4 linked regions of the Anolis sagrei genome follow. The protein of the gene in region 2 purifies or fractionates together with the protein of the main gene of each other region. This does not show direct contact. Links are inferred from orthologs where the notes say so. Each region holds a gene or a part of one and is shown on either strand. Other genes may lie near its edges. The genes, in order: EWSR1, EP300, STRAP and DDX5.

Region 1 (7,914 bases), on a different chromosome or scaffold from region 2:
TCATCATCAATGGAAAAAAGGAATAATTATCCAAAAGATATTTTTGAAAGGTTAAAGAAATAAAATTACCATTAATCACAATAAATAATGCTTTTAAAAGATTCCAAAAATAAAATGACCAATAATAACGAAAAATTGTTTAAAATGGAATTTCTACTGAGGAAAAAAAAGATTCCTGATTCTCTCTCTATATATACAATATAATAATATATAGAAATAATAACATTGTAATGTAATAATACTAGCATATTATATATATTAATGTGATATGTTATATATACTACAATTTATGATATAGTACAATATGTTATAGAATGCTAACAGTATAATATACTGGTAGTGCATTAAATATATTGTGGTGGAATAATATAGTATAATAATATAATTTTCTATTATATATTATTAAAATATTAGTCTAATAGTATAGCACAATATAATATATAATATTAATATTGTGCTATGCTAATAATATATAGAACTATACTTATAACTAATTCCTTAACTTATTGAAGAGCTACGTATTTATATATTTTATGTTTTTTTATATGTTTATATTTTATATAGATTGTAACAGCTTTAATGCTTAATGGGGTTATTTATGAGGCCTGACTGAGTTATATGTTGTATCTTTTAGCCAATGTTGTTCAATTGTTTTATTTTTAACTGTTTGCTTTAATTGTTTTAATTTGTTATTTGCACATGGCATTGAATGTTTACCATTTTTCGTTTTTGGAAGTTGCCTTGAGTCCCTTCCAGGGAGAGAGGGCACGTTAAAAAGAAGTTGTTGTTATATAATATTATGAGTCCCCTTGGGGAGATCAAGTATGGTATATCAAGTTTTATTATTACATAATAAGAAGAATGTAATATGGTAACACCAATATATTAAATAAAATTACTACTGATTATATATAATAATGTATCACAGAATCAGAGAAGTGGAAGAGACCTCGTGGGCCATCCAGTCCAACCCCATGCCAAGAAGCAGGAAAATCACATTCACAGCCCACCCCCTAGAGAAGGCCATTCAGCCTCCACAACGGGGCAGAGAGTTCCACTGCTGCTCTCAGTTACGAAGTTCTTCCTAATATTCAGGTGTAATCTCCTTTCTTTCCTGTAGTTTGAAGCCATTGTTCTTCATCCTAGTCCCCAGGGCAGCAAAAAACAAGCTTGCTCCTACTTCACTATTACTTCCCTTCACATCTTTTTTCATAGCCCCCATCATGTCTCCCTCATGCTTCTCTTCTCCAGGCTAAACATGCCCAGCTCTTAAAGTCGCTCCTCACAGGGCTTGTTCTCCAGACCCTTGATCATTTTAGTTGCCCTCCTATGGACACATTCCAGCTTGTCAACATATCTCTTAAATTGTGGTGCCCAGTATTGGACAAGGTGTGATTCCAGGTGTGGTCTGCCCAAGGAAGAATAGAAGGTTGGCATGACTTCCATGGATATAGACACTATACTCTTATTTATGCAGGCCAAAATCCCATTGACTTAAGCCACTGCATCACATTGTTGGCTCATGTTCCCTTTCCTCCCCACACACGTGCTGCTCTCGAGCCATGCGTCTCCCATTCTGTATCTTTGCACTTCATTTTTTCTACTTAACTGGAGTATCTTGCATTTGTCCCTGTTGAACTTCATTTTGTTCGTTCTGGCCAATCATCTCTCTAGTCCAGTGGTTCTCAACCTGGGGTCCCCAGATGTTTTTGGCCTACAACTCTCAGAAATCACAGCCAGTTTACCAGCTGTTAGGATTTCTGAGAGTTGAAGGCAAAAAAAACATCTGGGGACCCCATGTTGAGAACCACTGCTCTAGTCTGTGAAGATTGTTTTGAATTCTGCTCCTGTCTTCTGGAGTACTGGCTCTCCCTCTCAATTTGGTGTCGTCTGCAAACTTGATAATTGTGCCTTCTAACCCTTCATTTAAGTCATTAATAAGGATGTTGAACAGAACCGAGCCCAGGACGGAACCCTGCTTGTGGCATTCTACTCCTCACTCCTTTCCAGAATGAAGAGGAAGCATTAGGGAGAATCACCGCCTGGGCGCGTTCACTTAACCAATTACAGATCCACCTAACTGTAGTTTTGATAATATTATACTAGTTTTGATAATTATAATACTGTTTAATTGTAGCATATTTGAAGTTGTCATGTTTTTGATTGAGAGCCACTTTGAGTCTCCATAGTGAGAGATACAGCAAAATATAAATCAATTTTTATTTTATGCTAATAATATGGTCTATATATAATATTTGTATTATACATAGACTACATTATTAGCATAAAATAAAAATTGATTGATTTATATTTTGCTGTATCTCTCACTATGGAGACTCAAAGTGGCTCACAATCAAAAACATGACAACTTCAAATATAATATATTATATTATGATTAATAATTATTATTAGTATATTATAATGTAATACTATAATATTAATCATAATATAATATAGACTGAACGAATAAACAACAAACTAATATTGCCCTATGCTAATAGTAGATTATATAGACAAATATTGAGAGTAATAGTGATAAAGCGGGATATAAATCGATCAAATCAAATAAAAAATTTTAAGTGTTATTTAAAATAATAAAAAACGCGTTTCAGAGAGAGATAAATAGGAAATAGATGGCAGTACATCAACTAGAAGGTGATTTTTTACCACCTCTTCCTGGGCCTTCCCTGAGGAACCATTTTGTCCTCCATTTTCCTCCCAAAACCGTTTTCTTTTCCCTCAAAAGCGACCCCTCTCTTCGTTTGTCCGCCTCCGCCAATATTCCCACACCAGTTTCCCTTAAATTCCCCTCAAGAGGGGCCCATTTCCCTCCTTTTCCCACTTCACGCGGCCCTCATTCGAGCCAGCCTCACCCGTCGACGCCATCTTCCCTCCTCCTCCTTCTTCTTCTTCTCAGCCGCTTGAGCCCTGCCCCTTTCCAACGGGCTCTATGCCGCGCATGCGCAAAGGAGCCCCACTCGCTTCTTCCTCCGCCGCCTCTTTCTTCACCCGCTTTTTCTCTCTTTGGCCTCGCCCGCCTTCCTTATATAGAAACCCAATCTGGGACTGTTCCAATGGAAAGGAAAGGGGTGTTAATCGCTTTTCCCTCCTTTGTACCACTTTGGCATCCCCCGTCCTTCTTGTCGAAGCTTTTCGTTCTCAGAGTCTTCCAATGCAATGGAAGAGGGATTCGTTCCAGAGAGGAAATTGAATCACTTCCCCCGCCCCTTATCCGCTTTGGTATCTCCCGCCCTTGTATAAGCTTTTGCACTTCCAACGAAAGGGTACAGTGAAGTGAGGGGGAAATGAGGCTAGAGCTTGAGTGATGGGAGGAGTCTAAGCCTAAGCCCCTCCCACTGTGCAGCTTTATTCACCCCCTTTTCCGACTTCGACTCTTCCGACCTTCTGTTAGGAAGCTATGGCACGGGACTCTTCCAATGAAAGGGAAAAGGGGGCGGGAGGGAGCAAATGAAGGCCAATGTAGAAGAACGCCACGTTCTTCCCGCCCCCTTATTCTCCTTGGTATCCCCTGCTCTTCTTATTCAACGATGAGTCTTGGACTCTTCCAATGAAGGGAAATAGGGGTGCGAAGACAGCAAAGGCTTGCATAGAGGGGAGGAAATGGTTCTGTCCAGGTGAGTTTGAAAAGCAGGACTGGGCATGATAGCTCACAATCAAAAACATTACAACTTCAAATATACAACAATAAAACAGTATACCATGATATATTATTGTATATTATCAGTATTACTTATTTTTATTATTAGTATTGGTAAATTACAATATTATTGTTATATAATAATAAAACATACTGCCCTATCTCCCCAAGGGGACTCATTATAATATTATTAATAATATTATATGTATATATTATATTATGAGTATAGCACAATATTAGCATTATAAATTATTATACCACTAGACTGCAATATTATTAGTAATATATAATAAACAATTATATTATTATATATTATTATCTTGTACTATAGTATTATGCCACAATGTATATAATACACTAGCAGTATATTATACTATTATATATATTATATATTATATATATTATACAATTATATAATACATTGTACTCAGGGGCGGCTCAACCCATTACGCAAAGTAAGCATTTGCAGTATAGTTGATGTTGCTCAGGGGCGCTCTTGGAGGAAAATAGACCTTGACATATGTGAGTTGTAGTTACTGGGATGTATAGTTCACCTATAATCAAAGAGCATTCTGAACTCCACCAATAATGGAATTGAACCAAATATGGCACACAGAACTCCCACGACAAACAGAAAATATATATCAGTGATTGGTTGGGGGGGGGGGGGGCAAAATACAGTTTGCTTACCATTGAAAATTATCTAGGGCCGCCTCTGATTGTACTATATCATAAGTTGTAATAATAAGAACAATACTTTATTTTTCACCTGTCCTTTCTCCCCAAAGGGACTCTTTCAATCACAGGACTTGTTGCTTTGCAGGGGAATGCGGATACGACGGCTTTGGCGTGGACAATGGGACTTGCAGTGGCCCCCTGTTGCTTCCTCCAGCCTCATGGGACTTCTCTTCCTTGTTTGGTGGATGGACATTGAGGAGGGTTTGGCCTTAGTGCCCGGCCTGCTCACAAATCCCTTGCAAGGTAGGCTAGCCATAGAATCGCACTGGCTTTTGTTGGCCCTTCTGAGCGACCCTATGGCATGCTTCAGCCAGAAAATAAGGAAAGCATTCCCCATGATTGCGCAAAAAAGGGTATCATGCTATCGCCCACCACAGTTTCTGCTATTGCCCATTCACATTTCTGCTATTTTACACTACCATGCGCGGCAACTATATTGTGCGATTGGACACTTACCTATATCAAGCTAATATGCAATTGCATATTATGAAATTGGAAAAGCAACATATTGTTTACATGTAAAATAATGATATTACAACATTGAGCAATAGCCAATATGCCATTTTGTGCAGGAATATTGTGCTATCGCGCAACAGCTATATTATGCCATTGGACCCTAACTATTTCTCATTTGCACTGTAACTATTGGGCTATTCCACAAATAACCTTATTATTCTGTACCACAATACCTATATCCTGCTATTGTGCATCAAATACTGTGCCCATTTGTAATTCGCAAAAACTGTATTATGCTTCTGAGCAATAGCAATACTCCTGTCCTGCTATTACACTGTTGCTCACACACAGTATCCCTTTATTGCGGGAGAACAGAATTCCACTATTGTGAAAAATACCCAGGTCCGTGATTGCGTGAGAATTGTATCCCACAGAGGATCCTGTTATGCACCGTGTTTTTTTGGGAAGGACTCCCTTTTTGTTAGTTGTCACCTTCTGCCCATATTTTGACGGATTTGAGTGCGCAATAACCTGTGTCAATTTCTTCCCTGCAGCTTTCCGCCTCGTAACATACTGCCTCTGCCATTCAGACATCTCTCTCCTGTCAGTCAGCCTTCTCTTCTTCCCGCTCTTTGGATGGCGGCCAGAATTGCGCATGGGCACCATACACTTCCTCTACACCGCTGTCCTTGGGGCGGTCATCTCAGCCTTGATGTACCTCCTTCTGGCCGGACTTTGGGGCGGTCACTCAAATGCTGTAGTCAGTGGCTACACTCCGGTCCACTTGGTCTTCCTGGGTTCTCAGCAGTGGCGGAAGGGGCTCTCTGGCTGGATGTCCACCGCCTTGCTGGCCGGAGCACTGGTGGGGCTGACCCAGGCCCTTTCACCCCAGTCATCCTTCCTCCTCCATATCTGTGGCCTCTTGACTGGTTTGGCGTGTATCCTTGAATCCTAAACTGGCCAAAATATAGATTTGGGTGATGTTTAGTCCAAAGGTACAGGTCAAAAATGAGTATAGATACCTTCAAATGACTTCTCGGGAGCATGGGAGAGGAAGACCTCCAAATGACTGGTCTGCTGAGCCAATAGTGGTGTCTTCTCCCCCCTTCAAAACCTCACTCTCGCCTTAGATCAAATTTAGCCAAAGGTCAACATTCAAAAGTGACCTCTAGCCCAAAGTAACCCAAGTGTAGCCCTTCTGGTTTCTTTCTGGCTCCAATGACTAGCAGTCCAATAGTGAAAGAGTCCTTCCAAAAAGATATCCTTGGGTCATGTTTAGCCAAAGGCCAGGGGTCAAAATTGGCCACCAATTACCCCAAATGACCTACAGGGAGCGTAAGGAAGGTACAGGCCTTTTGTCCAAAGTAGCCACAATGTAGTCCACGTCCAGTAGCTCAAAACCAAAGGGAGTCTCTCTCTCAAAAAAAATACTGTCGTTGGGAAACATTAGTCAAAGGTCAGAAGTCAAAAATAGCAACAAATCTGGTTTTAATCCTTGACATATCTCAGACCGTGCTGGGATTTTCTTTCTCCTTGAACCATCGGACAGGTTCTTAGAAAGGATACATAGCAGGATTCAAATCCAAATCCCTCCGTTCCTTCACTTCGTCCGGCCCCCAGAAGCCAGAAGCCTTCCGGTTACGAACCCCATGGCAGCTGCTAAAACACAAGAGTAAGCCTATGTTACCCACTTTGATTCCTTTTCAGTATGAACATTGACTTACCCCTAGACCAGACCTCACATTCATTTTCCTTCCCAGGATTTACGCAGCATCCAGTATTCAATTCCCAGAGCTTTTCCCAAGTGAATCCCCATCACAGACAAGAGGAAGTCCTTCCTTGTCCCCTGCTGTACCTTTCTCTGCCTTCCAGGAAGCCCTAATAGAGGAGGAGTTGCTCCAAGCCGGCATCCAGGCCTCCCTGGAAGACATGGTCAAGGAAGAGGTCACACTTTCCAAATCATCCGTCTCGTCCCTCCGGTAAAATGGTGGACCATGAGCAGACTCCAAAATACGGAGTGGGTTAGGATTAGGTTGGGGTCAGGTTAGGGTTGTGGTCATGCTGGGGATGAGTAGACTCTGAAAAATTGGGGTTAGGCTGGGTTAGTTAAGGTTTGGTAGATTCCCAAATACACATTGGATTACGGCAATGATAGATAGATGATAAATGGACTCGGAAATATGGAATGTATCAGAGTTGGATTAGGATTAGTTTGGGGATGGGTGGACTCTGAACTGTGAAGTGGGTTATGGTTAGGATGGGTTAGGGTGGGGTTGGATTAAGATTAGAGTGGGGATGGAGTTAGGGTTAGAGATGTTAGAGTCAGGTAGTGGATGGGTTAGAGTTAGGGTTAGATTGGGTAGGTGCCAAAATATGAAGTAAACCCAAGATAGGGTTAGGTTAGGGTAATGCTAGGGAAGACTAGCCTCCAGAATATGTAGTGGGTTAGGTTTGGGTAGACCCTGAAATATAGAGTATGTTACAGTTAGGATTGGTAGGCCCCAAAATATGGAATGCTGAGTCATTATCTCATATCTAGCTTGGGATGGGCATATCAGAGTTGGGATGAGTAGACTCCAAAATATGAAGTGCATTAGTCTTAGAATGGGTAGATTCCAAAATACAGAGTAGGTTAGAGTTAGGGTGGAGATGAGTAGAGCCTGAAATATGGAGTGGGTTAGGATTAGATTGAGGATGGGTAGGCTCCGAAATACCAAGTGGGTTAGGGTTACAATGAATCGACTCCGAAATATAGAGTGGGTTCAGGTTCGGGCTTGGTTGGGGTTGGATGAGGATGGGTAGACTCTGAAGGCATCCATTCTCTTTTGCAGGCTTCAGCAGCTCCAAAAAATGGGCTTCGCCACTGAAGAGGCAGTGGTTGCTTTGGCTGCAGTGGGCCACGTCGAGGGTGCCGTCTCACTGCTGATTGGCGGCCATGTTGGAAACGATGCCGTGGTGGTGGTCCCTCCTGACCGGAAGTAGGACATTCTTCGCAGTGTTGACCGGATGGTCTAGGATCACGGATGATCTGTGCAGTCAAATTGCCTCCTTGCCATCTTAGG
Region 2 (7,056 bases):
GTTTCAGTTCTTTCCATCCAAACTCACAGGCCCATCAATAAACCCATCATTAAAATATAGGAAAGACAGCTAGATGATTTGTCCATGTCCTCATAAACGTAGCAAGACTATCGGAATTTCAGACATTTTGGACTCACAAAGAAACAAACATGCAGTTTAAGAAGAGAATCCATGTTGTTTTCAATGCAAATCTGGTGAAACTGCTTTGACAAAAATGCCAATATGAACACTATTCATCTACATTGGCTACATTCCATTTAGTGGAAATGAAACAAGCAATGGTTCAAATCAGAATATTGATAACATTAAGGAGTAAGGAAGGCTGGCACTGAATGCCCTGTTACATGAGAAAATGAACATACATCCACACTATGATATATACCAGGCATGGGCAAATTTTGACCCTCCAGGTGTTTTGGACATCAACTCCCACAATTTCACAATTGTGGGAGTTGATGTCCAAAACACCTGGAGGGCCAAAGTTTGCCCATGCCTGGTATATACTGTAGCACAAGGCATTGTACAAATACTAAGAGACAGTGTTAACAGAGGTTTCAAGACAACAAATGGCCACACAGGTAAACCACACTATGATATATACCAGGCATGGGCAAACTTTGGCCCTCCAGGTGTTTTGGACATCAACTCCCACAATTCCTAACAGCCCACTGGCAGTTAGGAATTGTAGGAGTTGAAGTCAAAACACATGAAGGGCCAAAGTTTGCACATACCTGGTATATACTGTAGCACAAGGCATTATAGAAATACTAAAGAGAAAAATGGCCAAACAGGTAAACCAGCCAGTATAGATCCACACTATGATATATACCAGGCATAGGCAAACTTTGGTCCTCTAGATTGTTTTGGACTTCAACTCCCACAATTTCTAACAGCCTACTGGCTGTTAGAAATTGTAGGAGTTAAAGTCCAAAACACCTGGCAGGCCAATGTTTGCCCATGCCTGGTATATACCATAGTGTGGATGTAGTAGAGGGCCAAAGTTTGCCCATGCCAGGTATATACTGTAGTACAAGGCATTGTGCAAATACTAAGAGACAATGTTAACGGAGCCTTCAAGACAGCAAATGGCCACACAGGTAAACCAGCCAGTATAGACTGGCTTTCAGCCTCTTCAACGATATGAAAGGCAACAGCACTGAAACCCCACAACTGATTAATGCAGCCAAGTGTAAAAGTGGGTTCATAGAAGAGCAAGAGGAGAGACTACATGGGAGCAAAAGGAGCCCAAGAGGGAAGAGAAGGCTCCCAGAGTGCAGTGAGGGAAAACGAGGGGTATCTCTCCCCAAAACTGACCTGTGCCATCGCTTGCAGAGACAGAGAGAGCCGGTGAGGAGAGTTTAGGCCTCTTGGCTGAAGGCGGGCCCGACTCCACCACATTCTCGGCCATTTTTAATTCTTTTTTAGACAAACAGAGCCCAAATTGAAGACGGGGATCGATCTCCAGTGCCGCAAAAGCCACCTCCTCGGATCAGGAATCAAGTGAACAACAACAAATACGAGAAGAAGAAGAAGAAGAAAAGAACAAAGTTCCTCTTTTTTCTTTCTTTTAATGCCCCTCGGGATCTGTCTCCGTTGGGTAGCAGCAGCGACTAAGAGGGGAGAAAACAGAGATGAAGAAACAGGGTGTGGAAGAAGCAGCAGCAGCAGAAGCAGTCTTTTTTCTCTGGATGCCACAGAGGATCAAAAAGAGTAACAACAAGGGAGCAGGACTTGATGGGTTCCCCAAGCCGGCTCAAATCCGGCTGCGGGGCTGTTGGGGCTTCCTCGCGGCCGCCAACGCCACCATCTTCATCGCCATCCTCCTCGGGGGGGTCGCCGTGGAAGCCAACGCCGTCGTCGTGGTCGCCTCCTCCTTCTTCTTCTCCTCCTCCTGCTGCCTCTTCTCCGCCGCCATCAACCTCTTCCTCCTCGGCGTCGTCCTCCTCCTCCTCATCGCCACAAGGAGGCGGCGGGCGAAGGAGGAGGAGCGGGGGGGAGGAAAAGGCGAAGGAGAACCGTCCCCGCTTCCCCGCCGACGAGATGGCCCCCAGGTGGAGAGGGAGGAGAAGGAAAAGGGGGTCCCCGGCTCCCCCTACCGCCGCCTCCCTGGCCGGCCAGTCAGTCACTACCAATGGCTGCAGGAAAGGAGGATGAAGCAGCAGCAGCAGCAGCAGAGAAGTCCCAGGAGTCCCCGCTTCACATCTTGTTGTGCAGGAACAAGGAGGAGGGGGTTGTTGTCCCGATGGAGGGAGGGAAGGAGGGAAGGAGAGAGGGAGGAGGGCTCTTCTTCCTCTTCTCTTCCTCCTCTACCTTTCCTTCCTTTCTCTCTCTCTCTCTCTCTCTGTGGCAGGGTACCCCCCTTCTGGTCAGGCGGAGGGATCGATCCCAGAGGAGGAGGAGGAAGCTAGGACGGCCCCTCCCCCTCCCTCTCTCGCTCTCCCTCTCGCTGCCTCTTTTCCCCTCCCCGGAAAGAAGGAGGGCGACTGGCTAATGGAGAGCCAGGAGGAGGCGGAGGGAGACGGGGCTCCGGAGCCGAGGCGGCGGCGGTGGTGGTGCCTCAGGCGTTTCTGCTGCTACTCGGAGGGCTCCGTCTCCTGCCCGCCATGGAGGGAGGGAATGGAGGAGGCGCGGAGCCAGGCCACAGGCCCCAAGCCCTCCTCCTTCGGCGCTGTGGGTGGGGTCCCAAGCCCAGGCCGGGAGCAAGACGGGTCGGCGACGCTCTCGGCTGGCCTCGACTCTTCCCTGAACCGAGGAGTGCCCGGATCTCACTCAGCCGTCGTTGCCTTCCTTCCTCCTTTCTTTCCCTTCCTTCTCTCCCCGGTCCCCCTTCTCTCTCTGTCTCTGTCTCTCTTTCTCCGTCCTCTCTCTTCCCTCTCTTCCCTGGAGCCAGTCGCGCTCTCTTCTCTCTTCTCACACACACAAACAAAATGGCGGCTGTTGTTTCTTCACTCTCTCTCTCTCTCTCCCGATTCCTCCGAGGGAAGCCAAGCAGCCGCGGCCGGAAATGAGCCAAGAGGGGGGAAAGGGGGGGCGTGGCCAAAGAGGAGGGAAGGAAGGGAGGGGCAAAAGGGGCGGGGACGGCACGCAGGCTCGCGCACACAATGGAACGCGCGCGGGGCGGGGCCCGAGCTCGAGCCCGAGCCGGCTGCGGTCACGAGGCGAGGGTTTAGGCCACTCCGCTCGCGCGCTCCCCCTTCCGCAAAAAAAAAACAAAAAACCCTGCTCGGCGATTTAAAGGGGAGGGCGCGCGCACGCGCACATCTCTTCCCCTTCTCCCTTCCTCCGCCTTTTTTTCCGTCGGCCAAAATCAGCCGCCAGGTTGAGATTTTAAGGATAGGCCTGTTGTAAAAGGAGGGAGGGGGGAGGGAAGGAGGAGAGTGAGGCAGGCTGGGAGGAGGCCCCGCCGCAGGGACCGCAGAGAGAGAGAGAGAGAGCGAGGCCCCGTATAGATCTAGATATACACACACACGTAGGGATATTATCCAGATTGTGTGCTCTGCCTATACACTGGCCATCGTAAGAATCATAAATCACGGCGCAGCCTGAGGGCGGAGGGGCAAAGGCCTCCTTCCCCTCTTACGCCATTCTCGCCCTGCTTTCCCTGCCAGGACCCAGGCCTCTCCCTTCTGGGATAACAGAAGGCGGCCTGGCAGCCCAAGGTGTCCCGGCCTCCATGCTTGGCCTTCGGGCCGGTCCCGACTGAGGCCGAGAGTGTGTGACGCCGCCCAAGGCCGCCCCACCACACCTGCTGTCTGGCACTCAACACGAAGCAGAGAGTCGCCCTCTCTTCCGCGATCACCAGGAAACCAGAGTATGTCCAGGCGGCAAGAACGCCCTGTTCTTCCTGTGTAGACTAGTTTCTCCGGAACACACACAGCAACACATTTCCCCCACACTTAGAATTAGAGAACCCCATTTTCTCTGCTCAGCCTCAGAGGCGAAGAAGAGGCGGTTTGCAGGGCCCCATCTACAACAACAATAATAATAATGTCACAAATACCACCTACCAGCAGTAAAGAACTGGTGGGATCATGAACCTGCAAAGGTTCATGATGGGCCTGTTGTAAAAATGAACACACAAATGTGAGAAATGAACACGTAAAAACACTGTGGGACTTTCGAATCCAGACTGACAAAGTTTTGGAACACAAGACACCAGACATCACGATTGTGGAAAATAAAAAAAGTTTGGATTATTGATGTCACCATACCAGGGCCCCATCTACAACAATAACAACCATAATAATAACAACAGTCCTAAACACTTAGGAAGTGTCTGACGTGTGATCCAGTACAACAACCAGCAGAGTGATCTTGTCTGCTGTGGACTCATCTTGTTGTGTTTCTAATTATTATTATTATTATTATTACTATCAAACATGAACATGTGAAAACTGTGGTCAGCCAAGAATACATTCAAAAGGTCTGAAAAATTCTCAAAAGCAAGCTCAATGGAGGCAACACCATCAAGGCCAAAAATACCTGGGCCATACCTGTCATAAGATATACTGCTGGCATCATAAACTGGACACAGAACTGGACAATTTGGACAGAAAAACAAGAAAATTCATGACTGTAATTCACTACATCCTCGCAGTGATGTTGATCAGCTCTATCTGCCTAGAAAGTCTGGGGGCAGAGGACTTCTACAAGTCAAAGAAGAAAAACACGTCCTGGCAGAATATGTAAAGGAAAGCCAAGAACCTGCTTTAATTGAAGTCAATAATCAGAAACTTCTCAAAGCACAGCAGACAAAGAATCAGTACAAGATAACTGCACTCCAAACCAGAGCTGACAGCTGGCACAACAAAGCATTGCATGGGCATTTCCTTGACAAAATTGAAGGAAAAGTGGATAAGGAGAAGACCTGCTTATGGCTCACGAATGGAACCCTGAAGAAGGAGACAGAAGGCCTGGTTCTTGCAGCCCAGGAGCAAGCCATCAGAACAAATGCCATTAAGGCCAGGATTGAAAAATCAGCTGATGACCCAAAATGCAGACTGTGCTATGAAGTGGATGAAACCATTGATCATGTCCTCAGCTGTTGCAAGAAAATCGCACAGATGGACTACAAACAGAGGCACAACTCTGTGGCCCAAATGATTCATTGGAACTTATGTCACAAGTACCACCTGCCAGTAGTGAAGAGCTGGTGGGATCATAAACCTGCAAAAGTAGTGGAAAATGAATACACACAAATACTGTGGGACTTTCGAATCCAGACTGACAAAGTTTTGGAACACAATACACCAGACATCACGATTGTGGAAAAGAAAAAAGTTTGGATTATTGATGTCGCCATAGCGGATGACAGCTGCACTGAGGAAAAACAACAGGAAAAACTTGGCTGTTATAAGGACCTCAAAATTGAACTGCAAATGCTCTGGCATAAACCAGTACAGGTGGTCCCAGTGGTCATCAGCACACTGGGTGCCGTGCCAAACAATTTGGTAACAATAAACATGGACAAAATCGCGATCTATCAACTGCAAAATGCCACTTACTTAGATCTGCACACATAATTTGAAAATACATCACACAGTCCTAAACGCTTGGGAAGTGTTCGACTTGTGATTTTTTGATATGAAATCCAGCATATAGATCTTGTTTGCTGTGACATACTGTGCTTTTGTGTCAGTAAAATAATAATAATAATAATAATAATAATAATACTCCTGACCTCACGATTGTGTTAAAAAACAAAGTATGGATTGTCGATGTTGAATCCCAGGTGACAGCAGGATTGAAGAGAAACAACTGGAAAAGCCGACACGATATGAGGATTTAAAGATCAAACTGCAAAGACTGTGGCACAAGCCTGTCAAGGTGGTCCCAGTGGTGATCGGCACACTGGGTGCAGTGTCTAAAGACCTTGGCCTGCACTTAAACACAATCAGCACTGACAAAATTACCATCTGCCAGCTGCAGAAGGCCACCTTACTGGGATCTGCACGCATCATTCGCCGATACATCACACAGTCCTAGACACTTGGACACGTGTGACCCAATTCAACAGCCAGCAGAGTGATCTTGTCTGCTGTGGACTCCGCTTGTTTCAAATAATAATAATAATAATAATAATAATAATAATAATAATAATGGAGCTCCCAGTGGCGCAGTGGGTTAAACCCCTGTGCCGGCAGGACTGAAGACCGACAGGTCGCAGGTTCAAATCCGGGGAGAGGCGGATGAGCTCCCTCTATCAGCTCCAGCTCCTCATGCGGGGACATGAGAGAAGCCTCCCACAAGGATGATAAAAACATCAAAATCATCCAGGTGTCCCCTGGGCAACATCCTTGCAGACGGCCAATTCTCTCACACCAGGGGCAACTTGCAGTCACTCCTGACACGACAAATAATAATAATAATAATAATAATAATAATAATAATAATGTTCATCATTGCAATGAACCCACTGTCAGTAATTCTACAGAATTACTACAGGGCTGTGTGGAAGGGCCCTAGGAATGGCCCTTCAATGCAATTTGATAATCAGCTTCCAGCATCTATAAATCACAGAAAACTGTTCTCTCACATTTAAAAAGTTGGGTTTTTGTGTTTATTAAGATTTATATAATACCAATAGATAAGAAACAACCAAAATAGCAACGTTTTTATTTTAAGTGTTTCACTTTCATGGAGGTTCTGTGTCCCCAGTCCCAGGGCCCTTCCACAGAGTCATATAACTCAGATTATCAAGGCAGGAAATCCCACAATATCTGCTTTGAACTGAGTTATCTGAGTCCATGCTGCCATATATTCCAGATATTTTGCCTTGATATTCTGGGTTATATGGCTGTGTGGAAGGGCTCCCAGTGAATGCAGAGGGCTGACTGTGCATTTTGTAACAGGTATGGACACATTCACTCTCAAATAGCTTTGAATGTAACTCTAAGAAGTCCTCTCAAACATAGTCAAATGTAAAATATTATGGTAACTATAGTACAAAACCTGTGACGTTCAAAATTCCTCTAACCCTGTGTTATATGACATCACTCTTTAGTGACTTTCTTCCTATCTAGATGGTTGTTCTCAGAAGGTGGTGACAGACAGCTG
Region 3 (7,354 bases), about 20 Mb from region 2:
ATATTGTTTTGAAAGTTTGATTTGATTGTATGTTTACTATTACTACATTGTGTTTCTTCTATTATAAGCCACGAGTCCTTTTGGGGAGAGAGGGCGGGATATAAATAAAGCTTCTTCTTATTATTATTATTAAAGTAAGTATTTTATACATGTTGTTCATAACCATAGGCAAAAACTAGTGGTTGTCATATCTGGAGTAGAGCTGTTGTAACACATGTAACTTAGTTATGAATGACCATGGCTCATTTCTAACCAGACATATCAGATATTTTAAGCAGACAAAGGGGCAAATGAATTGGGGATTTATAAGCAACAATCCAGCACTGTTGTTTGTGGGGATGAGGGAGAGGGCCTTCTCGGTGGTGGTCCTCCGGCTTTATTTATTTACAGCATTTTTGCCCCACCCTTCTCAACCCCCGGAAGGGGACTCAGGAGATTAGACTGGCACCCAATCTGTCCACCTTCCGTAAAGACCTTAAAACCTGGATGTTCCAATGTGTGTTTGAGAATGATTAGGCCCCTGTCCATGAACGCCCAGCCTCAATTGTCCATTAGAGTGAACTCAGCACTTTTCCACAGCCCTGGCCCTATAATCTGCTATTTGTACAAGTCCATGTCCAGCACTCGCTAATTTTTGATCCTGCCCATCTTATTCCTGGTTCTGGTTAGTGACATTTGTTTTGATTCAGTTCATAGTTGTTTTTAAATATTTAATTGAATTATTAAGTTTATTATGTTTTAAATGTATTTTTAGTGATAAACCCTGTTGTGTTGGGTTTCGTCCCACTAGTAAGCCGCTCCCTTTGTGGAGATGGTGGAAGGATATAAAAAATAAAGTTGTTATGACGATTTTTATTATTAGTTAGCAGGAATACACCCTGTAAAAAGTGGTTCCTCCATAGTTGTTGTTTTGTTCAATTTTTCTGCAATTTAACAGTTCGAACCCAACTTACTTAGCTGACCGCATCTTCTCCTATGAAACTACATGTGCCCTGAGGTTCTCGGGAGAGATCCTGCTCTCGGTCCTGCCTCTGTCTCAAGTGCAATTGGTGGGAACAAGAGAGTGGGCCTTTTCAGAGGTGTACCCAAGACTCTGGAACTCTTTTCCTAAAGAGGTTAGAATGTCTCCCTCCTTGCTTTCATTTAGGGATCTAAATTTCTATGGAAGCAGATCTTCCCTGAAGGAGAGGGATATTGAAAACAACAGATTCATCTGTGCAATGTATACATTTTAATGAACTTCCGGCAATGGACTTGACTACAGCATAGGAATGGATATCAGGTGTGGTTTTTTTTAAAAAACTTTTTTGAATGTTTAAACTGTGTCATGTTATCTATTTACTATGTATTTATATTTTTATTAGACATGTTTGCGGTGTGATGATAATGCTTATTTTTATCTCTATCTGTATATATAGAGATATAGCGGGCCTTGGCCTTTGTAAGCTGCACCGAGTCATTCGGGAGATGTTAGCAGGGTACAAATAAAGTTAATAATAACAATAATAATAATAATAATGCTTTGAAATGTTTTTTGTTACATGTTTGAGTCCCAATTGGGAGAAAAGCAGGATAGAAAATAATAATAATAATAATAATAATAATAATAATTTGCATTTTCCTGACTTGTTCTTATTGTTTGTAGTTTGAAACCATTGTAGTTTGAAATCACTGAATCAGCAATATGTCCTCAGATTGCACTTTAACTATTGGATTGGGTTGGATTGCGCTCCCCTCACCTTACCAGATATATCTTACCTTGTTCATGCCCAGTGTTTATTTTTTAAATTTTAAACTATTGCATTTGGCCCGACCATAGGTTTTTAAATCCTTGTGTGTTATTGCTTATTGTTTATATGCTATTTATATTAATTGTATACTATTGTATTGTTTTTGTGTATTGCTTTCTTGTATTGATGTGTTGTTGAGCTTGGCCTCATGTAAGCCACCCCGAGTCCCTTGGGGATTTGGTGGTGGGGTATAAATAAAGTTTTCTTATTGTTGTTGTTTTCCTATTTATGTAGCACTTAGGGCAGGCATGGGCAAACGTTGGCCCCTCCGGGTGTTTTCAACTTCAACTCCCACAATTCCTAACAGCGAGCTGTTAAAAATTGTGGGAGTTGAAGTCCAAAACACCCGAAGGACCCAAGTTAGCCCATGTCTGATCTACACAGCATAATGAATACAGAATACAGCAGAATGAATGAATACAGCGGAATGAATGAAGGCTCAGCCAGGCCTTCAAATGCTAATGAAGGTGGTCAGTTGAAACATTCACACTTAGCTCCAGCAGAGAAGAGCTCTTTGCCCCACCCCAGCCATTCCACAGATATATAAACCATTGTCCTAATGCCAACAGACCTCACTACCTCTGAGGATGCGTGCCATAGATGCAGGCGAAACATCAGGAGAAATGCCTCTAGAACATGGCCCTATAGCCCGAAAAAACCCACAGGAACCTAGTGATTCCAGCCATGAAAGCCTTCGACAATACATGGAATGAATACAACTTGGCATCATTTTTGCTGTCATGGCTCAACGCTAAGGAGTCATGGGAGTTGTAGTTTGGTGAGGCACCAGCACTAAAAGCCTTGAGAAACCACAAAACCCCAGAATCCTATATTATTGAGTCATGGCAGTTGAAGTGGTGTCAAACTGCCTTCAGGAGCTCCCCCACACCCCCAGGAGGCTCACCTTTGCAAGCACTGATGAGGAAGTAGCCGTAGGGGGTGATGCCGCTGAAGGCCAAGTCCACCACAGGCCGCGTGTGGCCCGAGCACGTCAGCGGCGTCTGTCGCATCGCCATGGCGGCCGAAGGAAGGGAAGCAGAGGGTGGACGAAGAAGGGAAGCGGCGGGGTCTGGAGGAGGAAAGAGGCCGCTGAGAGAGGCAGAGGAAGGCGACCCTCGCTGGCTCCCTCAAAGCCACGGGAAAGGCCGAGCCGCTGACGACGAGAGGGAGACGACGGCACGCCGGCAACGGAAGTGAACTCAGGAGGGGAGAAAAATGGCCGTCGCCGGAAGTGCTGAGCCGCCGCCGCCGCCTAGGAAACCATAGAGCCGCTTCCGGTTTCCTGTCCCGGGAGGGGAGAGGCATGGAAAGCTTATTCTTAAAGGGCTGCAGAGCGGAAGTGACGTCATCGCCAAGCTCTTCATAGAATCCTAGAGTTGGAAGAGACCTCATGGGTTATCCAGTCCAGCCCCCTGCCTAGAAAGAGGAATATTGGCGGGGACGAGGGAGAGGGCCTTCTCGGTGGTGGCCCCCCGGCTGTGGAACACTCTCCCGGCACACATCAGACAGGCGCCCTCCCTCATGTCCTTTCGAAAAAGCCTTAAGACCTGGCTGTTCGAGAGGGCATTTAATTAAGTGCTAAGCAACAACATTACGGTAATGAGAACTGGAATGGTATAAGGAAGATGAGACTGGCTATGATTCTACTAAGAGACGAAGCGGATTTTTATGTAGTTTGTATTTGTCGTATAGTTATATGTTGTTGATACTGGCCTTTGTAACTGTCTTTTTATGTGTACTGTACACCGCCATGAGTCGCCCGTAAGGGCTGAGAATGGCGGTTAATAAGTGCATCAAATAAATAAATAAATAAATAAATAAAGCACCCCCGACAGATGGCCATCCAGCCTCTCATGGCTAGAATCACTAGGGTCTTGTGGGTTTTTTCGGGCTATAGGGCCATGTTCTAGAGGCATTTTCTCCTGACGTTTCGCCTGCATCTATGGCAAGCATCCTCAGAGGTAGTGAGGTCTGTTGGAATTAGGACATATATCTGTGGAATGGCTGGGGTGGGGCAAAGAGCGCTTCTCTGCTGGAGCTAGGTGTGAATGTTTCAGCTGATCACCTTCATTAGCATTTGAAGTCTTGGCTGAGCCTGGGAAAATACCCTGTTGAGAGGTGTTAAGATGTGCCTGGTTGTTTCCTCTCTGCTGTTTTGCTGTAGTAATTTTAGAGTTTTTTAATACTGGTAGCCAGATTTTGTTCCTTTTCATGGTTTCTTCCTTTCTGTTGAAATTGTCCACATGCTTGTGGATTTCAGTGGCTTCTCTGTGTAGTCTGACATGGTGGTTGTTGGAGTGGTCCAGCATTTCTGTGTTCTCAAATAATATGCTGTGTCCAGGCTGGTTCATCTGGTGCTCTGCTATGGCTGACTTCTCTGGTTGAAGTAATCTGCAGTGCCTTTCATGTTCCTTGATGCATGTCTGGGCGCTGCGTTTGGTGGTCCCTATGTAGACTTGTCCACAGCTGCATGGTATACGGTAGACTCCTGCAGAGGTGAGAGGATCCCTCTTGTCCTTTGCTGAACGTAGCATTTGTTGGATTTTCTTGGTGGGTTTGTAGATTGTTTGTATGTTGTGTTTCCTCATCAGCTTTCCTATGCGATCAGTGGTTCCCTTGATGTATGGCAGGAACACTTTTCCTCTGGGTGGATCTTCATCTTTACTCTTGTGGCTTGTTCTTGGTCTTGCAGCTCTTCTGATGTCTGAGGTGGAGTCTCCATTGGCCTGGAGAGCCCAGTTGAGGTGGTTCAGTTCATCTTGGAGGAGGTGGGGTTCGCAGATTTTTTTTGCACGGTCTGCCAAGGCTTTAATGGTGTTTCTTTTTTGACTTGGGTGATGGTTGGAGTTTTTATATAGATATCTATCTGTGTGTGTGGGTTTTCTGTAGACGGTGTGACCCAATTGTTGATCTGGTCTGCGGATGACTAGGACATCTAGAAAAGGCAGTCTTCCTTCATTTTCTTTTTCCATGGTGAACTGGATGTTTGGGTGGATGCTGTTAAGATGGTCCAGGAACCTGTTGAGTTCTTTTTCTCCATGGCTCCAAATGGTGAAGGTGTCATCCACATATCTGAACCATATCGTGGGCTTTTTGGTTGCTGTTTCCAGGGCTTGTTCTTCAAAGTGTTCCATGTAGACGTTAGCTATGACTGCCTTGTCTGGCAGTGCCTGGAGCAATCTTTTGCTGAGAGATTATTAGATGTCCTTGTTTGTTTCCTCTCTGTTGTTGTGCTGTTCTAATTTTAGAGTTTTTTAATACTGGTAGCCAGATTTTGTTCATCTTCATGGTTTCCTCCTTTCTGCTGAAATTGTCCACATGCTTGTGGATTTCAGTGGCTTCTCTGTGTAGCCTGGCATGGTGGTTGTGAGAGTGGTCCAGCATTTCCGTGTTCTCAAATAATATGCTGTGTCCAGGCTGGTTCATCAGGTGCTCTGCTATGGCTGACTTCTCTGGTTGAAGTAGTCTACAGTAGGGATCTTGTTAGGCCGCTCCGTCGTTTCTGAGGCAACAAAATCTGAGGAGAGATGCAGCCTTGCTTTTTTTAAAAAAGACTCGAGGTGCCAAACTGCATTCAATCTACAGTGTAGATCAGGCACGGGAACACTTCGTCCTTCCAGGTTTCTTTGGACTTATTTATTTTATTTATTTATTTAGTACATTTCTATACCGCCCCTCTCAGCCTTCCGGCGACTCAAGGCGATTTACAAGGCAATTCATTGCCACCAAGGACACAATTACAATATCTATATATTAAAAAATGCTCTGTGCATAATGTGTACCTTAAAAACAAAAGAACCAATGAACGAAATCACACCAAATTTGGCAACAAAATGTCTCACAACACAAGGAGTGACCATCACTCAAAAAATAATGCTTTTGTCATTTGGGAGTTGCAGTTATTTATTTATTATTTATTTATTATTATTTACTTTGCTTATATACCGCTGTTCTCAGCCTGGGGTCGACTCACAGCGGTGTACAACATAGAAAGAACAAGGTTTAAAAGTCAAGACGCAATCTAAAATATCAATCTAGCAATAACCAAAGACATCATCATCAAAAACATCAACAATATCAATAATACAAAAAGCCATTCATGTCGTCTCATCGTTTAAACCACAATCCAGTATCATTTTCCGTTGTTCCATTCCTGTCGTCATTACCAATTATTGCACTTCTTGTTCGAACACTTTCTTGAACAGCCAAGTTTTTAATTTCCTGCGGAATATCATCAGGGAAGGAGCCAGTCTGATGTCCACGGGAAGGGTGTTCCACAGCCAAGGAGCCACCACCGAGAAGGCCCTGTCTCTCGTCCCCGCCAGGCGGGATCGAGAGCAGGGCCTCCCCGGATGATCTCAAAGTCCTGGTGGGCTCGTAGGCCGAGATGCGGTCAGATAGGTATCTTGGGCCGGAACCGTTTAGGGCTTTATAGGCCAACGCCAGCACCTTGAATTGAGCCCGGTAGCAAATCGGAAGCCAGTGGAGCTGGTACAACAAGGGCGTTGTATGCTCCCTGCGTCCCGCTCCTGTTAGTAACATGGCTGCCGCACGTTGGACCAATTGAAGCTTCCGGGCTGTCTTCAAGGGCAACCCCACATAGAGAGCGTTGCAGTAGTCTAAACGGGATGTTTAGACTACTTGAACCCTACCAATGATAGAAATGGGCCAAACTTCCCACACAGAACCCCCATGACCAATAGAAAATACTGGAGGGATTTGGGAGGAATTGACAATAATTTAAGGGAGAGCACGCCTGCTCTCCCCTCTCCCCTTGGAGTCACGGAAACAGCCCTCCCCTTGGCTGAGAAGCCAGCCAATCACAGCAGGAGGAGGGCTTTTGGTGGGAAGAAAAAGGAAGAGAAGGACAGACTGAGAGATCTTCTGCCTTCTCTGCCAAAGAGCTTCCTAAGACCATCAAACAAAATGTTTTCTGATGGTCTCTGGCGACCCCTCTGAAACACCCCCCCTGTGGTCCCAACCCCCAGGTTGAGAAACACTGCTGTACACAGTAGGTTGTTAGGAATTATGAGAACTGATGTCCAAGACACCTGGAGGGCCGGAGTTTGTACATGCCTGATCTACACTGTAGATTGAATGCAGTTTGGCAACACTTCAACTGCTATGGAATCATGGGAGCTGTAGTTTTAAAAAGGTCCGTAGCCTTCTCTGCCAGAGAATGCTGGGGCCTCACCAAGCTACAACTCCCAGGATTCCCTAGCATTGTGAAAGTGCTGTCAAACTTTCACAATGCTAGGGATGCACTCATAGTCAATCTTCAATTGAGGTGCAACCACATCTGGAAGGCCATAAGGTGGCAGAAACCTGTCTATTGATTATGTATTCTGTCAAAAATGTTAAATGCTTAATAATGCCAGGTTCACCAGTCTAACCCTCTATAAAGAGGCCCTTATTTGAAGAATTGGGGACTGGACCGGACTGAATCAATTGAAAAATGGGACACTCTCAGTATGTTTCTAGCTTGCAGATATAAGACTGAGCACTAGATGGCACTACAAAAGAGTGAAAGCGGCTCAAACCATCTCAAACTAGCAGAAGCAATG
Region 4 (7,759 bases), on a different chromosome or scaffold from region 2:
TTCAGTCTAATTGAGTCCAACTCTGGGGGTTGGTGCTCATCTCCATTTCTAAGCTGGAGATGAGCACCATTTCTAAGCCAGCGTTGTCTGTAGACGCCTCCAAGGTCATGTGGCCAGCATGACTGCATGGAGTGCCATTAATTCGTTTTACTGTATTGTACATATAGCACTGCACTAACACATGCTTTTGGAAGCCACACCAAGTCCCTTTTGGGAGATGTGGAATATAAACAAAGTTATTAATAATAATAATAATACTATCGCTCTAATCATATCATTTGCCACCTGTGGGTTTGAGAAAGGTAGGGTAGAAATATCGTAAATGTTACTATACATGATTGTATAGTATCGTAACTTTATTTTTCTACCCCGAAGGGACTCTTGGTGGCTTACATGTGGCCAAGCCCAAGGCAACATACAATTAAAAACAAAACAATAACAAAATAGCATAAAATATCATAAACAGTAATAAACAACTATAAAAAACAACAGCAGATTAATTTTAGGGAGGGGGGGAGGCCACTATGCGAACTGGTTAAGAGATAGGGTGGTTCAATAAGGTGGATAGAAACTTATAGTAGCATACAATATTCTTCTTCTAAATAAAAATATATAATTAATAATATTAATTAATTGTGGTAGTGATATTAATATATCACTATCAACATCCAAATATTAAAACATCCAAGATTTAGAGGACAAGCAAAGCAACTGCATTTTATTGAGCTTGGCCTAATGTAAGTTGCCCCAAGTTCCCTTGGGGAGATAATGGCGGGGTATAAATAAAGTTTTATTATTACTAGCTGCCCCCTGCCACGTGTTGCTGTGGGCCACTCTGGTGGTCATGGGGGTTGTGTGTGGGAGGTTTGGCCCAATACTATCGTTTGTGGGATTCAGAATGCTCTTTGATTGTAGGTGAACTATAAATCCCAGTAACCAGAACTTCCAAATGTCAAGGTCTATTTTCCCTAAACTCCATCTGTGTTCCTAGTTGGGCATATGGAATATTTGTGCCAGGTTTGGTCCAGATCCATCATTGTTTGAGTCCACAGTGCTCTCTGGATATAGGTGAACTACAACTCCCAAACTCAAGGTCAATGCCCACCAAACTCTTCTAGTGTTTTCTGTTGGTCATGGGAGTCCTGTATGCCACGTTTGGTTCACTGCCATTTTTGGTGAGAAAATCAACTTTTTTGAGTGAAGGACATACATTGGGATGTTAGGTGTCTTGTGTCCAAATTTGGTGTCAGTTCGTCCAGTCGTTTTTGAGTTCTGTTGATCCCAAAAACGAACATTACATTTTTATTTATATAGACTAGCCATCTCCATGGGGATTCTGTGTGGGAGGTTTGGCCCAATTCTATCGTTGGTGGGGTTCAGAATGCTCTGTGATTGTACGTTAACTATAAATTGCAGCAACTACAATTCCCAAATAACAATATCAATTTATTGGAGTGATGGTCACTCCTTGGGTTAGTAGGTGACTTGTGGCCAAATTTGGTGTCAATTCGTCTAGTGGTTTTTGAGTTCTGTTAATCCCACAAACGAACATTACATTTTTATTTATATAGATATCTATGGCTGGATGGCAATTCGTCAGGAGGGCTTGGATTGCGTTTTCTTGCCCTGATGAAGGGAGTTGGAATTATTTATATAGACTATTATATAGTCTATATAGACTATTATATAGCCTATATAGACTATAGTATAGACTACAATCTATAATCTATGCACTGTGATACAGGACAAAAAGCTTGAACTGTTAAGGATGTGTGTTGTTTTTTTTAAAAAAATTGTTCCGTAATTGTTGAGTGTCTTGACGCAGAGAGGGAGTGCCTCAAAGTGGGTGGGGGAGGATTGTGAAACCGACACAATTCCGGTAAGCAGCTTTTTTTTTAAAGAACAAAGGGGATTATATTTCTTCTTTTTTTTTTAAAAAAAAGGAAGCATGGTGGACTTTCCTTCTCTGGAGTTTTTCTTTTTAAAAAAATTCTTTCCCTTCTCTTTTCTTTTTCCCCCCTTTTTCTCCCTTTCTTTTCTTTTCTTTTCTTTTCTTGAGAACCATACATAAACATCCACATCTCAGGAGTTCCACCATAACACATAATTTGAGTTTTTTCAAAGCAGATGGCTATCTGTCGGGAGTGATTGGATGGTGTATCCCCGCGTGGCAGGCAGGACGGGGTTGAACTGGATTGGCCCTTCAACTCTAGGGTTCTTTCACAGAGGGAGAAAAACGCCAAGGCGCCACTGCGCATGCGCAACCCCCCTCCCCCTTTTTCCATCGAAAGTCTCCTCTAAAACCCCAGCCGAGGAGTAAATCCGTCCCCGCTCAGCTTTTGTCTGGAAGGAATGGAGGAAGAGGGACGGAAAGGGAAGCCTGGAAGGCGGGTAGCTGGACAGGAGGGGCTCCCCTTGCTTTGAGGGCCTATTTTCCCCCGTCTACGCCACATTTTCTAAGCCGGCGCGCGTCCATTTTAACGCCGGGGCGGGGATAAGGAGAGAAAGGAGAGAGAGGAGGAACAAAGGAGGCAGCCGCCGGCATTTTGATTTCCCCTCAGCCACCGCATGGCGGGGACGAGAGACAAAAGAGAGGAGGAAAAGGAGGTCCTTCTATTTCCCCACCACAATCCTTTCAGATATTTAACCATTCCCTTTTCCTTCCCCCTCCCAGACTCAACCCGTTTCTGAATTCCCCCCCACGCCTCTCCTTTTTCCCAAACGCCCCCGCCGCCATTTTGGCCACTCTCGGCTCCCCCCGCCGCCATTTTAAATACCCCCGGCTCCCCCCGCCGCCATTTTAGAGCCCCCCCCCCCCCGCTCTTCCCCGTCAGAGTTCATCCTTCAAAAGAGCCCCCTCAGGTCTCACCCGCGGTCCCTGTCGCTGGAATAGCCAGGCATGCTGACGACGAAGAAAGGGCCTTGAACGACGGAACGGCGAGGGACACAAGCAGGCTGGGATCAACCGCAAAGCCGATGGCGGGGGCGACTGAATGGGGAGTGTCTCGCCGGGCGGATGCCGGTTATATAGCCGGCGCCGCCGCGAATGCCGGGAAGCCGGCTCGTGACGTCACTAAAGAGCCCCGCCCCTCCCTCCAGATTCCACTTCCAACGTTCTTCCTTTTTTTTCAAAGGCGATGGGGCGGGGCTACAGTGATGGGCACCTCTTTCGGCCTATAAGGAGCGCAGGAGCTGGAGCCGGCCGGCTTTTCGGCTCCTTCGGACAAAAAGGGGCGGGGCTTCCCACTCGGCCTAGTAGCCGCTGGAGCCCAGGGCGCCTTGTGAGGCTTGGCTCGGCCTCCACGGCTGACGCCCACGCAGCTCTGAGCGCGCATGCGCAGACCGGCTCTCATTCGGCTCCGGGCACTGACCCTGCTTGGTTCCTGTACGTGAGGACGTTTGTCACGCATCCTCTCTTGTTGGCTAGGGGCCCTTCCGTACAGCCATATAACCCAGAATCTCAAGGCAGGAAATCCCACAATATCGCCTTTGAACTGTGTTATTTCAGTCCACACTGCCATATATTCTAGTTCAAAGCAGATAACGTGAGATTTCCTGCCTTCATATTCTGGGTTATATGGCTGTGTGGAAAGGCCCTAGGAGGATTATATTTATATTATTATTATCTATATCTATAAAAATGCTCTGTGGATAATGAGCATCTTAAAAACAAAAGAAGCAGTGAACGAAATTATACCAAATTTGGCAACAAAACTTCTTACAACACAAGGAGTGACCACTCAAAAATTATGATTTTGTCATTTGGGAGTTGTAGTTGCTGGGATTTATAGTTCACCTATAATCGAAGAGCATTCTGAACTCTTATCAACGATGGAATTGAACCAATCTTGGCACACAGGACACCCATGCCAAACAAAAAATACTGGAAGGGTTTGGTGGGCATTGACTTTGAGTTTGGGAGTTGTAGTTCACTTACATCCAGAAAGCACTATGGACTCATACAATGATGGATCTGGACCAAACTTGGCACAAGCACTCAATACGCCCAAATATGAACACAGATGGAGTTTGGAGGAAACAGACCTTGACATTTGGGAGTTGTAGTCACTGGGATTCACAGTTCACCTACAATCAAAGAGCATTCTGAACCCCACGAACGACAGAATTGGGGCAAACTTCCCACACAGAACACCCACGACCAACAGAAAATACTTAAGGCCATCTAACCCAACTCCCTTCATCAGGGCAAGAAAACATGATCAAAGTCCTCCTGACAAAGAGCCATCAAGGAATAGATAGATAGATAGATATGATTCACACAGAGAGAGATATAGTATCATAGATTTGAAAGGGACCCCTAAAGAAGGACAATGATATCCTATATGTTCCAGGGTGGGCAAACCAGACACTCTCCGCATCAACACTGACAAAGAAACAGCAAGAAATATGCTTACCCACAACCATAAACAAATTACATATATTAGAAACCAACATTTTCTCATTACTTTATTTTCCAGATCAACAGACTGGGCCACAGCAATGCATGGCAGGGGACAGCTAGTAAAATATAAATTATAATGATTGAAACTCAACCAGAGCAAAATTTTATAAGACTGCGCCATTTTGAATTGTTTTTACCCATTATATTGTAAAATATACATTATAAATATATATATTATAAAATGGATTATATCAGAGTTTAGTTGGGGCCTATCACCCTATCTACACAGTCATTTCATGCAGTTAGGACTGTATTATATGATCTCAGGCTGGATCTACATCCAAGATTATCTGATTATCCCAGATTATTTGGCAGTGGGGACCAATCCAATTCAAAGCAGATAATCTAGAATCATAAAGAATTTGATAACGATGTTGTGAACCGGTTGCTATGAGTTTTCCAGGCTGTATGGTCATGTTTCAGAAGCATTATCTCCTGACATTACACCAGCATCTAACAAGGCTATTAATAACACAAAATGGGAAAGGAGGAGTAGAAATTAAGGTAGAAGAATAGTATAAGGAAATATGGAAATGAGCAGTAAATGATAAATTAACATTTAATTTACAGGTTTAAAAAGGCCTAAGGAAAAGTAACATTTTTAAAAGCAGATGGGAAAATATTTATTGAAGAAACATTGATAACTGACGATGTGATTGAATAATTATTTCAGTAAGGAGATGCTGAGGATATACGTTTTTATTGTTTTTATTGACTTGATATGAATTTATATTTTATATGCTAACGTTTTAAGTGTCACAATGTCTGCAGCCCCTCCCACAACAAAGAATTAAGGTCAAATTGCATACCAATACACAAATAAATATAGTAAGCAATTATATACATAACAAATAACCAGTAGACTAGAGGCTTGAGAAGGTTGCTGTTTCCATCAGGAAGAAGATTGTGTATAGAAGATTGTATGCTATACATAGCACACAAATATTACGAGATTCATAATAACTTTTCCCTCAAGATAGGTTTGATAAACTGCAGTTGTACAAGCTAAGTATCCAGATTAACTGTGTGTATCTATGTTGTATAATTAATCCAGTTTGAAACCACTTTACCTGATGTGGCCCAGTTCTGTAGGATGATGGGATTTGTAGTTTGGCAAGATCCCACAGAAGGCTAAAGACCTTGGGAAACTATAACTCCAGTGATTCCATCACATTCAGTGGTATCAGACTGCATTGATTCTACAGTGTAGATGCATCCAATGACAGCTGCACAATCAAACTGGGCCAACAGTATCCCCAGGATTTTATAAAGACCTTGCTGTGAAGTCAGAGGGGCACATAATTGTGATAAATCTATTATGAAGCAATCTAAAGGCATTCATGATCCCCTGAGCAGTTAGATGCTGCTCTTCCTCCTCCTAGTTGGGTTCCTACGCTTTTAATTGTTCAAATCCAACACAGCTTCAATAGATAAACTTTCTCCTGTCACTCCATTGCTTTGCTGGGGTAACTAGAATTTTCTAGATTTGACTTGTCAATTAAAAGCATAGTAGTCCCAGCTGAAAAAAGTATACCGACCTTTGAGATGTTCCATCGTGAAATCACTCCAAAATAACACCCCAAAAAGCTCAATTACACTAGAACAAAGGCACTCACAAGCAAGTCTATATTTTCCCTGTACCGCTTGCATGATTATAAGACGAGGCCATTACAGGCAGTCCCCAAGTTACAAAGAAGACAGTTTCTGTACGTTTATTCTTAAGTTAAATTTGTATGTAAGAACACATACATTTTGAAATGTAACTCCAGCCACATATTTCTATAAGCTTTGGACAGCATAGGGAAAAGTTAATAGCCCTGTGGTGTTTGTTTTGCTGCCCGTGACCCTGTTCAGAAGATTTCACCTCACCTTCTGTCCCTGTGATAATTGGATTTTGAAAAAAAAATAGTTTGTTGTGGAAACAAAGATTGGGGAGAAAGCTTAAGTGGAAACACCTTTTTCCCACTATAAGGAGTGAATTTTCTTTCCGAAGAGTAGATTTCTCTCACTTCCTGTTGTCTCACCCTCCTTAACTATGAGTCATTTGTAAGTCTGATGTTTGTAATTTGGGGACTCCCTGTTGTAATTTTCTGCATTATCATGTCAAACCTTGTCAATCGAATCTGCAAAGCAATGTTTTGGCAATAGTAGCAATTTATCCACTTATCATCACCATCAGTTACATCGATTGCAGAATAGTTGAAACATACAAAAGATCAACATTAACATAGAAACAATTTAAAATGTACAAGTCAATGGGTAAAAACCATTCAAAATGGTGCAGTCTTATAAAATTTTGCTCTGGTTGAGTTTCAACACACAAAACAAGACAATGTCCTCTTAAAAGTTATTTTCTTAGGTTACTATGTAATCCAGTTTCTGAATCCAGATGATTTGCTTTGAACTGGATTATCAACAGAGGCTGGACCTACGCTGCCATATAATCAGGTTCAAAGCAGATCATCTGGACTCAGAAAATTAATTACATAGCAGTATATTTTTTTTGCAAACTTTGAGTACTAAAGGTCTTGGAAACCTTTAGTGCTCAAAGTCTGCAAAAAAAAAAAAAAATTACAGGGCTTTGCCTGTCAATACAAAGACACCCAGGAGGGGTTAACATGTTGCCTGTTTATATGCCGGAAGTGAAGAGAGCAATGGAAAAGGTGTAGCAGCAATTCTAATACATTATTTTATATTGCTCGTAAATGAAAACATGAAACTGAAGGAGGAGAGCACTCACAATATTGATGGAACAGAGTACAGCTGGAAAGAAAGTGTAACCCCCCTTTAGACAATGGATTAAATGGGGCTCTTGCAGTACTAGGCAGTCACTGCATTGCCATCTTTCACAAGGGAAGAGAATACAACCGCCACAGAGGGCCTAGATTCAAATAATTCAAATTATAGGTGCTGCTACACTGTAGAATTATGGCAGTTTGACACCACTTTCACTGCCATGGCTTAAAGCTATGATACCATAAATACTGTTGTTTTTCAAGGTTTTTCTTTAGCCTTCTCTGCAAGAGTGCTGTGTCCTCACCAAACTACAAATTCCAGGATCCCAAGGCCTTAGTATTTTAGTAGGGTCTCCAAAATTATTAATTCCACACATACAACTTCCATTCTTCCATTCATTCCCACACATAATTATTAAATTAACATTTATCAAATCTGTACATTGAATTTCTTATTACAGTGCTGTGTCCTCACCAAACTACAAATCCCAGGATCCCAAAGCATTGAGCCATGGCATCTAAAGGGATATCATGATGCACTTATTCCACAGTGTAGATGCAC

Evidence for each region.
Region 1: the proteins of EP300 (region 2) and EWSR1 purify together in Homo sapiens (affinity purification with mass spectrometry; 3 studies listed by BioGRID and IntAct, with this or other methods). This does not show direct contact. The link is inferred for Anolis sagrei from reciprocal best matches to the Homo sapiens genes EP300 and EWSR1.
Region 3: the proteins of EP300 (region 2) and STRAP purify together in Homo sapiens (affinity purification with mass spectrometry; 3 studies listed by BioGRID, with this or other methods). This does not show direct contact. The link is inferred for Anolis sagrei from reciprocal best matches to the Homo sapiens genes EP300 and STRAP.
Region 4: the proteins of EP300 (region 2) and DDX5 purify together in Homo sapiens (affinity purification with western blotting; 5 studies listed by BioGRID and IntAct, with this or other methods). This does not show direct contact. The link is inferred for Anolis sagrei from reciprocal best matches to the Homo sapiens genes EP300 and DDX5.

What each region holds. Positions count from the first base shown.
Region 1 is NC_090034.1:48,575,882-48,583,795, reverse strand, and holds the start of EWSR1 (RNA-binding protein EWS), read right to left. Parts: upstream 3,009-7,914; 5' UTR 2,887-3,008; coding exon 2,874-2,886; intron 1-2,873. Other genes in the region: RHBDD3 (rhomboid domain-containing protein 3), read left to right, coding at 3,622-3,635, 4,482-4,639, 5,407-5,790, 6,362-6,524, 6,613-6,831, 7,684-7,834. UniProt on the Homo sapiens protein: Binds to ssRNA containing the consensus sequence 5'-AGGUAA-3'. Might normally function as a transcriptional repressor. EWS-fusion-proteins (EFPS) may play a role in the tumorigenic process.
Region 2 is NC_090025.1:161,827,750-161,834,805, forward strand, and holds the start of EP300 (histone acetyltransferase p300), read right to left. Parts: upstream 3,023-7,056; 5' UTR 1,409-3,022; coding exon 1,315-1,408; intron 1-1,314. UniProt on the Homo sapiens protein: Functions as a histone acetyltransferase and regulates transcription via chromatin remodeling. Acetylates all four core histones in nucleosomes. Histone acetylation gives an epigenetic tag for transcriptional activation.
Region 3 is NC_090025.1:181,635,643-181,642,996, reverse strand, and holds the start of STRAP (serine-threonine kinase receptor-associated protein), read right to left. Parts: upstream 3,009-7,354; 5' UTR 2,807-3,008; coding exon 2,695-2,806; intron 1-2,694. UniProt on the Homo sapiens protein: The SMN complex catalyzes the assembly of small nuclear ribonucleoproteins (snRNPs), the building blocks of the spliceosome, and thereby plays an important role in the splicing of cellular pre-mRNAs.
Region 4 is NC_090022.1:179,768,377-179,776,135, forward strand, and holds the start of DDX5 (probable ATP-dependent RNA helicase DDX5), read right to left. Parts: upstream 3,023-7,759; 5' UTR 2,902-3,022; coding exon 2,870-2,901; intron 1-2,869. UniProt on the Homo sapiens protein: Involved in the alternative regulation of pre-mRNA splicing; its RNA helicase activity is necessary for increasing tau exon 10 inclusion and occurs in a RBM4-dependent manner. Binds to the tau pre-mRNA in the stem-loop region downstream of exon 10.